Canis lupus familiaris: one gene and its partner. The protein of the gene in region 1 interacts with the protein of each later gene in a pairwise test. Links are inferred from orthologs where the notes say so. Each region holds a gene or a part of one and is shown on either strand. Other genes may lie near its edges. The genes, in order: CACFD1 and TMEM159.

Evidence for each region.
Region 2: the proteins of CACFD1 (region 1) and TMEM159 interact in binary tests that used the Homo sapiens proteins (3 or more experiments, as listed by UniProt). The two-hybrid records come from large-scale screens. The link is inferred for Canis lupus familiaris from reciprocal best matches to the Homo sapiens genes CACFD1 and LDAF1.

Annotation. Positions count from the first base shown.
Region 1 is NC_049230.1:49,926,384-49,930,188, forward strand, and holds part of CACFD1 (calcium channel flower homolog), read left to right. Parts: intron 1-655; coding exon 656-728; intron 729-2,162; coding exon 2,163-2,288; intron 2,289-3,805. UniProt on the Homo sapiens protein: Transmembrane protein which mediates synaptic endocytosis and fitness-based cell culling.
Region 2 is NC_049227.1:24,499,126-24,503,630, reverse strand, and holds the start of TMEM159 (lipid droplet assembly factor 1), read left to right. Parts: upstream 1-1,668; 5' UTR 1,669-1,840; intron 1,841-2,175; 5' UTR 2,176-2,225; exon of another isoform or gene 2,226-2,256; intron 2,257-2,598; exon of another isoform or gene 2,599-2,721; intron 2,722-4,326; 5' UTR 4,327-4,431; coding exon 4,432-4,505. UniProt on the Homo sapiens protein: Plays an important role in the formation of lipid droplets (LD) which are storage organelles at the center of lipid and energy homeostasis. In association with BSCL2/seipin, defines the sites of LD formation in the endoplasmic reticulum.

The DNA of each region.
Region 1 (3,805 bases):
ACATTTGGGGCCTCAGGGCCTGATATTCCAGGGGTCTGTGGGCTGGGCTGTGGCACTTGCCTGTGTGCAGGAGAGAAAACGGACCTACAAAAGTAACAAGAACATCCCCAGGGTTCCTTAGCTGGTGTGCAGGTCACAGCCGGTGTGGTGATCCAGGTCTCCCTGATCCCAATTTCTGTTCCAAGAGAGGAAAGGCAGCCCTTGACCCAACCAAAATCCAATCCATGTTTCCTGCATCAGAGGGCTTCTTATGTGGCTAATCCTGTGAGTGGTGGTGCCTGCCTGACCTGAACCCCCTAGACTCCTCTCTCTCTTCATCCTCAATACCTTGAGGTCGGTAGGGGTTCAGCTGGGGTTCAGAGGCCAGCCCTCCCAGTGGTAGATTGGACAGAGGGTGACACGCCCTCTGAGCCCACCAGCCTCCAGCTGCACGCACACTTGCTCTGGGGCCTGGGGCAAGCTGCTTCACCTCTCTGAGCCTGCATCCTCACCTGGGGTGTGGGGCAGTTACATTGGTCCCACTTGTGTCCGCTGGCAGAGAGGAGGCTTGCGGGTTCTGCGGGGGGGAAACAAGTGCTGGGTGTCGGAAGGAATCCTTCCTGGCAGGCTCTGTCCCTTCTTCCCCGCTGATTCCTGCTCCTGTCTCGCTTCCAAGCTTGTGCCATCTCGGGCCTCTTCAACTGCGTCACTATCCACCCTCTGAACATCGCGGCCGGCGTGTGGATGATGTGAGTAGCCTTGTGACCTACTGTCTTGCCCGGTGGGGTTTGGGGCATGTGGATTTCTGGTCGCCGGGCAGGTCTTCACCTCCTTCATACCCTGCCATGTTCGGTTTTTCTGATTCTCATTAGGGCCGGGCCCTGGAAGGCTCCTACCCAGGCCTTTATTGTAGGGCCAGAGTCACAAACATTTCCCGAGTGCCCACTGAGCCAGTCTTTGCGGGCACCATGTCCACTACCATGGGCCTGGCCTCTGGGAGCTCTGGGAGCCATCAGAGCCAGTCAAGGGCTGAGTTGGAGGCTTGGTGTCTGGTGGGGTTGGAGTCAGGTGCTGGGATCAGGAGCTCCAGCTGGGAGGTGGGCAAGCCACAGACAGGGCAGGTCAGAGCTGGTGTGGGACCAGGTAGTTAGAATGCCCTAGATGAATTCCCTGCCCACCTCGTGTCAGGATACCTCGATCCCGTGGGAAGGGAACGCAGGGGTGAGCCCTGACCAGTGCAGCTCTGGCTGCATCTGACCAACCCAGCGCATGCGCCAAGTGGCTGTGCACCAAGCAGTGCCTGTGCCCGTATGGGACTTGGCCGGGGAGGGGCACAGAGATAGACGGGGGGCCCTGCCCTCAGAGAACTCAGGCCAGGGGTGAGGCTTGCTGTGGTGGGGCCCAGAGGCCTGTGCTGGCCACAGGCAGTAGGGATGGGGGTGGGTCAAGGCGCTGGGCCCAGGCGTCAGTGGGTAGAGTCAGGAGACTGGCTGGCTGGGTGTGGAAGGGCTGGGAGGACTAGGGAGAGCCAGGGCGAGTGTGGGCTGTGCAGAGTCCCTGCTTGGGGCTCAGGTGGGCACCTGGGGCACCCTCAGCTTGATTCTCTGTAGGTCATGAGGGCCCAGTGTCTGTGACGGTGACCCAGCTGTGGAGAACACGAAGACTGGAGCAGACCCTCAGTCAGTCCCCACGCCCTAGTTGTTCCCAGCCCGAATATAGGAAGGCGGGCCGGGGTAGGGGGTGGCAGGGGAAGAATACTGCACAAAAGGGCTTGCTAAGCTCCCTCCTCCCTACGTGGGCTTTGTGAGGGGCAGCCTTCAGTGACTGTGGACGGACTGACCCACTCTGGGCTGTCCCAGTGGGTGAGCCGCTGCTGCGGACAGCTTTCCCAGGGCTGATGGCCCTGTGGGTGACAGCAGTGATCATGCTAGTAGCTGAGTGGCAGTCCACGCTCTGCAAAGTGCTACTGACAGCAGTGCCATGATGGAGGGGGTCTTGTCTCCTTCAAATACAGGAGGATAAAGGGAAGACCAGAATCTCCCTCTGGAGCATTCAGTTTGGTTAGGGAGGCTGGCATGTGGGCAGCGGTTCCGCAGAGGCCCCAAGAGGAGCCGTGGGGGGCCATTGGGGACCTCCTGCTCTCCAGGCCCGTCAGCCTGCCACCCTCTCTCCCTGCCCTCCAGCATGAACGCCTTCATCCTGCTGCTCTGCGAGGCACCCTTTTGCTGCCAGTTCATTGAGTTTGCGAACACCGTGGCGGAGAAGGTGGACCGGCTGCGCTCCTGGCAGAAGGCTGTCTTCTACTGCGGGTGAGGGGCCCCAGGGGCCGGGACGGCTCGGAGGCTGACCCCCAAACTCAGGAACCCCAAGGGCAGGCGATGGGTAGCAGCCAGCATGCGGGGCTGTTGGTGAGGATGGGCCTGGGTGAGCCTGGTGCAGGGTCCTCTGCGCCACAATGGTGGCCATTGTGAAGTGGGACCAGTGGTGCAGCGGCCGGGGAGTGAGCTCAGCGCTGCAGTCACCTGCGCTGCAGATGTGAGGGGCGGGAGCCCTGCCCTGGGCTGCGTCAGAGAGAAGTGTGTGCCTGCAGCTCTGGCCCAGCCTCGAGGAGTTGTTAAGTACATCTTGGTAGGTCCACAGGACGCGTCTGTGGGCAGCCTTTGGAGAGAGTACTGTCCTTACAGGTGCCCTGACATGAGGGCAGGTTGCAGAACAGAAACCGTCACCTTCCAATAGGCTTTCCTTTGATTTTCCCACTTCTTTTTTTCCCCAAGATTTTATTTATTTACCCATGAGAGACAGAGAGAAAGAGAAGCAGGCTTCCTGTGGGGAGCCCGATACAGGACTCGATCCCAGGACCCTGGGATCATGCCCTGAGCCGAAAGCAGATGCTCAACTGCTGAACAGTTGAGGCACCCCTGATTTTCCCACTTCTGACAACAGATTTGGTACACAGCACTGCCCACCTGAGTCATGAGGTTGAACCAATTTCAAGATGTCTGGGACTCCAGGACTGTGCCCTGGGCTGAAGGCCGACGCTCAATCACTGAGCCACCCAGGGGGCCCTTGATCTTTATTTTTAAGAACTGTGTTTTAAAAATACTAACAGAGATATACATTCATTAAAAATGATTTGGAAAATATTAAAGCCCCATTGCTTGGAACGTTTAGGTCTCTGTCCACTTCTGCATGGGGAGCCTTTTAAACCTGTTTCTTGGGACACCTGGGGGGCTCAGTGGTTGAGCATCTGCCTTCAGCTCAGGTCATGATCCCAGGGTGCTGGAATCGAGTCCCACATCAGGCTCCCTGCAGGGAGCCTCCCCTTCTCCCTCTGCCTGTGTCTCTGCCTCTCTGTGTCTTTCATGAATAAATAAAATCTTAAAAAAATAAAAAATAATAAACCTGTTTCTTACACAGTTAGCTCCATCCTAAGTAAATATGTATCCTGCTTTTTTTCACTTAATATCGTGATATAAACACTCACTTTCAGTACTACCACAAAGGCTTTATAAGGTTACTTTTAATGATGGGAATACTCATTCCACTGTGGACGTCGTGCTTTTCTTAAGTTCCAAACTGTGGTGCAAATCAAATACACAGTGATGTGCCAACACGTTTTCTGTGATGCTTTCCTTGAGATATGTTTCCAGGTATGCACTTATGAAGTCAGAGAGCACAGTCATTGAAAAGGTTTCAGTACGTGACTGCTACTTTCCAAAAAGGTTTTCAGCATTTCCACCACCTCCATGGCCCAAACCCTCCCGGGGCCATGCACCGTTTTACAGTTGTGTCCGTTGTTTAGGAACTGACCTGTTCTTCCAAATGT
Region 2 (4,505 bases), on another chromosome or scaffold:
AGAAGGCAGCCAACACACAAGGAAAAAGCAAAATCTGGCTGTCCCTACAATGACAGAGGTCTGTGGTCAGGGGAATTAGAGGATTCACAAAGGCACCCCTAGATGGCACCCTTGAACAAAAATCCCAAGGAAGGCCCCAATTCAGCTTTTCAAAGCAATGCCCACCAGGGAATGACAGTTGTAATGTTTTGTTCTAAAGGAAAAAAAAAAAAAAGTCAACATTTTCTTAGGTGGGGCATCCACCATACTGCAGCAGAACAAAGTGCATGAAGCCATGTAGGATTGCCTGAAACTTAAGAATTTAGGGATACTTACCTGTCCATGTCCTATTTCCACCATTAGCTGCCCTTTTCTTGGCTGTTGTGAAGTTAGATGGGATCCTGTAGCTTCTTTTTATCATTACTGCCCCCATGTTTATTTCTTTACCCACCAGCCTGTTTATTTCTAGAGATACTATTTGGTAGAAGACTGTACCATCGAATCTTTTTGAGTTCCTCCTATACTCCAGATAGGTACTAACTTCTTTACAGCTCTTCTTGCACCTGACCTCACTAAAACCCTGTGACTGTTTCCCAGGCTGCTATTGCTGCAGGTCACAGAGGAAAGGAAGGTCCATCTAGGTCCCTGGATGGATAAGGCCTGAGAACTCTGCAGTAGCAGGCCAAAGCTCAGGCCTGTCATTTTACAGATGAAGCCCAGGCCCAGAGAGGTCACTCACCCAAGGTCACACGGTAAGAGCCAGCCCTGAGATGAGAGCCCAGGACTGTCGGAACCCCCTCCCTCAGACCCTGGTCTTTACCAGTACCTCTATGGCAGTGGTTCTTAACAGAAACTGTGCCCTGTCACAGGATATTTGGCAATGTTTGGGGACATTTTTTTGGTTGTCACAAGTGGGAGGAAGGGGATTACTACTGGCATCTAGTGGGTCGAGGCCAGGGACACTGATAAAAAGTCAGCACAAGGATGCCCCCTCAGTACAAAATTTTCCTGCCCAAAATGTCAATAGCGCTGCCCTTGGAGAAACCCTACTCTATGGGCCAGGATTTGGGGCCAGGGAACATGTGCCTGGCTCTGACGTGGAACCAAGGGCCTTGGGTTTAGACTTTTTCAATTATAAAACGTGGAAATGATAACCTAACCCATCTTTATGGCTCTCGCTGGTTCGTGGCACCTGCGTGAGTCGTAGTAGCTAAAACTTGCCAGTCAGGCCGTACCTCATCGCTGGATGTCCTGGCCTCCAGGATTGCTTCCAGGAGAGGTGGTTCAGGTGTAGGTATTTAGGCAGGGGACGCCCTAAGACGCTGTGCAAGCCGTGCTCAGAGGCCAAGTGCACCTGTCTCGGCGGTGGCCTGTGCACGCTCACTCCAAGCCGAGAGTGTAGGGCAGGCCTCATTTTCCTCAGCTGTATATTATTGAGGGCCTGTCAGGGTGGTTGTAAAATGCTGAGGCGGAGAGCGCGCTGTGTGGAGCTCGCGGCCGGAGGCCTCGCGGCAGCTTCGCGGTCTTCCTCGGGAGGTGGGCGGGGAGAGCCGAGCCCTGAGGGGCGGGGGAAGGGGCGGGGCGAGAGCGGCCGGAGGGCGAGAGCGTTGGAGGGGGCGGGGTCAGGGCGGTGGGGGCGTGGTCAGGGCGTGGAGGGGCGGGGCCAGGGACGTGAGGGGGCGGGGCGAGGGCGGAGGACGGCGGCAGCCTGGGTGGGGCAGGAAACAGGCGCCAGCTCCCGCCTGTGCGCACTAGAGTTCCTCCCTCTAACGTCTCTCCCTGCTCCTCTTCCTCCTCCCCCCACCGCGCTTCTGTGCCTCCGCCTGCAGACCCTGGCTGGACAGCGCGGCCGCCAGGACCGGTGAGATTCGCATCTCGGATGCTAGGGTGCAACGTGCCCGGGCTGGCTAGGTCACCTCGCGGGGAGGGGCATACGAAGCGGCTCGGGGGCATGGGTTGAGAGGGTCTCCTGCGCTGTCCGCAGTTTAGTGAAAAGGAATGTCTCACCCTTCGGAGCCCCCAAGACGGGCTGGGAACACACGCACTTCTTCACACCCACCACTAGATTTGGTAAAAGGGTTGCCAGCGCATCCCACCCCACCCCCCGAGACCTTGTCCCTTCTTGGGAAACCTGGCGGGGGAGTCTCCAAACCCTCTCCCCGAGATTCATGAATATGGGTGCCCTCCTTCCCGCAGGTCTCTCTTCTCTACCGACACCGCGGAGAGGGGCTCTCCAGGGAACAAAGGTGGATTCTTCTCCCCCACATTAATGACCGGGTACTCCACTCCCCCGTGAACGCCCCTTTCTTAGCCTCTGTGCTCTCTCGCGTGCGGACCCTCCCCGTCTGCACCTGCCTCTCTTTCTCTTCCCCTCTGCGCAAGGATCCCTAGAAGCTGGGCGCCTGCTCCACCTAGCGTCTTCGAGGGTTGACCGACTGTAAGCAGATGGGGAGGGGGCGGCCTGGGGCGGCCCGAGGCGCCCAGCTTTCCTTTCCCCCAACCGGAGATGCACCCCCTCTCCCTTCCAGCTGAAACGCTGGGGTTGGCCGTTAACTCTGGGAGGGGCTGGAATGCAAGAGCCGCGGGTCGGATTGGCCAGTGGTCTTTTGGGTCAGCCTGGAGGGCCCGGGAGAAGGCAAGGAACTTGTGAGCCGCGCTGGGGATCCCAGGTTGCCCTCCGCTCCAGAGACTTCTCAGTGCCTGGGAGTTCCCTCTGTAGAGTGGCTGGGGATTGGAAGCCAGGTGGATGTATTTGATGGCTGTGGCCCATGACATTCTACCCATGCTCGTTACCATCGGACTCCCCAAACCGGTCTGGGTGGCCCTTGGGTTCCCTAGACCTCTGGAGACCGGTAATGGGAGCTGGGCTTGTTTCTGTCTGCTGCAGAGATGAGAGTAGGAGAGCTGAGTCCTGGGAACATCCCAAATACGAGATGTGTGCCAGTTGGATCTTCAAAGATCCAAAGGTTTCCTGTTTCACAAACGGAGCTGTAGGAAAGGCTCTCTAGCTGGAGTGACGAAAACGTACTTTAAGTTGCATTTTAGACCCTCTAGGTATTGGTAAAGTAACTTTCTCCCCTTAACTCACATAATTACCGTGTGGTATAAGTCAATATGGTAAACAGGTGTCAGCATCACTTAGTTAATTTTGATCACTATAACAGAATCCTTGAGGCTCTTCTTTTTTTTTTTTTTTAAGATTTTATTTATTCATGAGAGACAGAAAGAGGCAGAGACACAGGCAGAGGGGGTAGAAGCAGGCTCCATGCAGGGAGCCTGGTATGGGACTCGATCCTGGAACCCCAGGATCACTTGCTTGGCTGAAGGCAGGTTCTCAACCTCTGAGCCACCCAGGCATCCCTTTTTTTTCTTTTTACTATCAGTAGTAAGGAGGTCATTTATAAGGGTGAAATTGTGTCTAGCCCTACAGTTCTGGGAAATAAAAAATGAGAATGATATATTTGTTGATATTTAAAATCCAACAAGGTTGAAAAAGAGATCTTAAACAAATTGGTTTTGTAGTCACATGACTTAGGACAGTCCTGGAAATTAAAGGCTGTTGAGTCACAGTGTATAATTGTGGCTAGGTCTGCCCTTGAGACACCTCTCCTGTTAAGAGGACACTTACAAGTCAACAGAGAATGATTTATGGTGCTATAAGGTTGGAAGCCAACCTGTTTAGTGTGGGTAGTCAATAAAGAAGTTGGCCACCATCACTGTTAAAGGTTTTTGGTGGGGGGTGGGGGGAGGCAATGAGGGGCTTGAAATAGTGTATTCAGCTTTCTTGCTTCTATATTCTTTGTAGCAGTTTGTCAGACTGAAAAAATAAGCCCCCAGAGATAATACCATTAACATTTAGGTATTATATGATCTATATCCTTCTAGGTCTTTTATTTTACTATGGAATATAGACATAAAATACATATATTTATGTAACAATATAGGATATCTTAAAAATTTTTTTCACTTATCATGAATGTGTTTTCATGTCACTAACTAGATGTCCACATTATCAACAACTATGTAATACATCTTATGAACTTATCATTATTTAACCAATTTCCTACTGATACACAGCTTCTTTCCAATGTTTTGCTGTTTATTATATATTACACATAGAATTGCACTGTACATCCTTTTTGTATGTTTTGATACACCTATTTGATTATTTCCTTCAGATTACTGAAAAATACATTGTTGAAGGTATGTGTGCTTAGAAATTCTGATATTGCCAAGCTACCCTTCACCTGCACACCTACCATCAATGTGTGAGGATAGTAGAAGCTTTTGTTGAACTAGCTAGGTGAATATTATACTAATGGTTCAAGATTCTTTTTGTTTCACCAGTGACAGCAAGAGACTGGGTGACATGAGAGATTCAACTGTGCCCTGCCCGGGACAGCTTACTGATAGAAGAATTGATCTCTAAAGAGACTGGGCATTGGTTTCAGGATGGCAAAAGAGGATCCTCCGAGTACCTCAAAGGACTTGCAGGAGCTGCAGAAGAAGCTGTCTTTGCTGGTAGA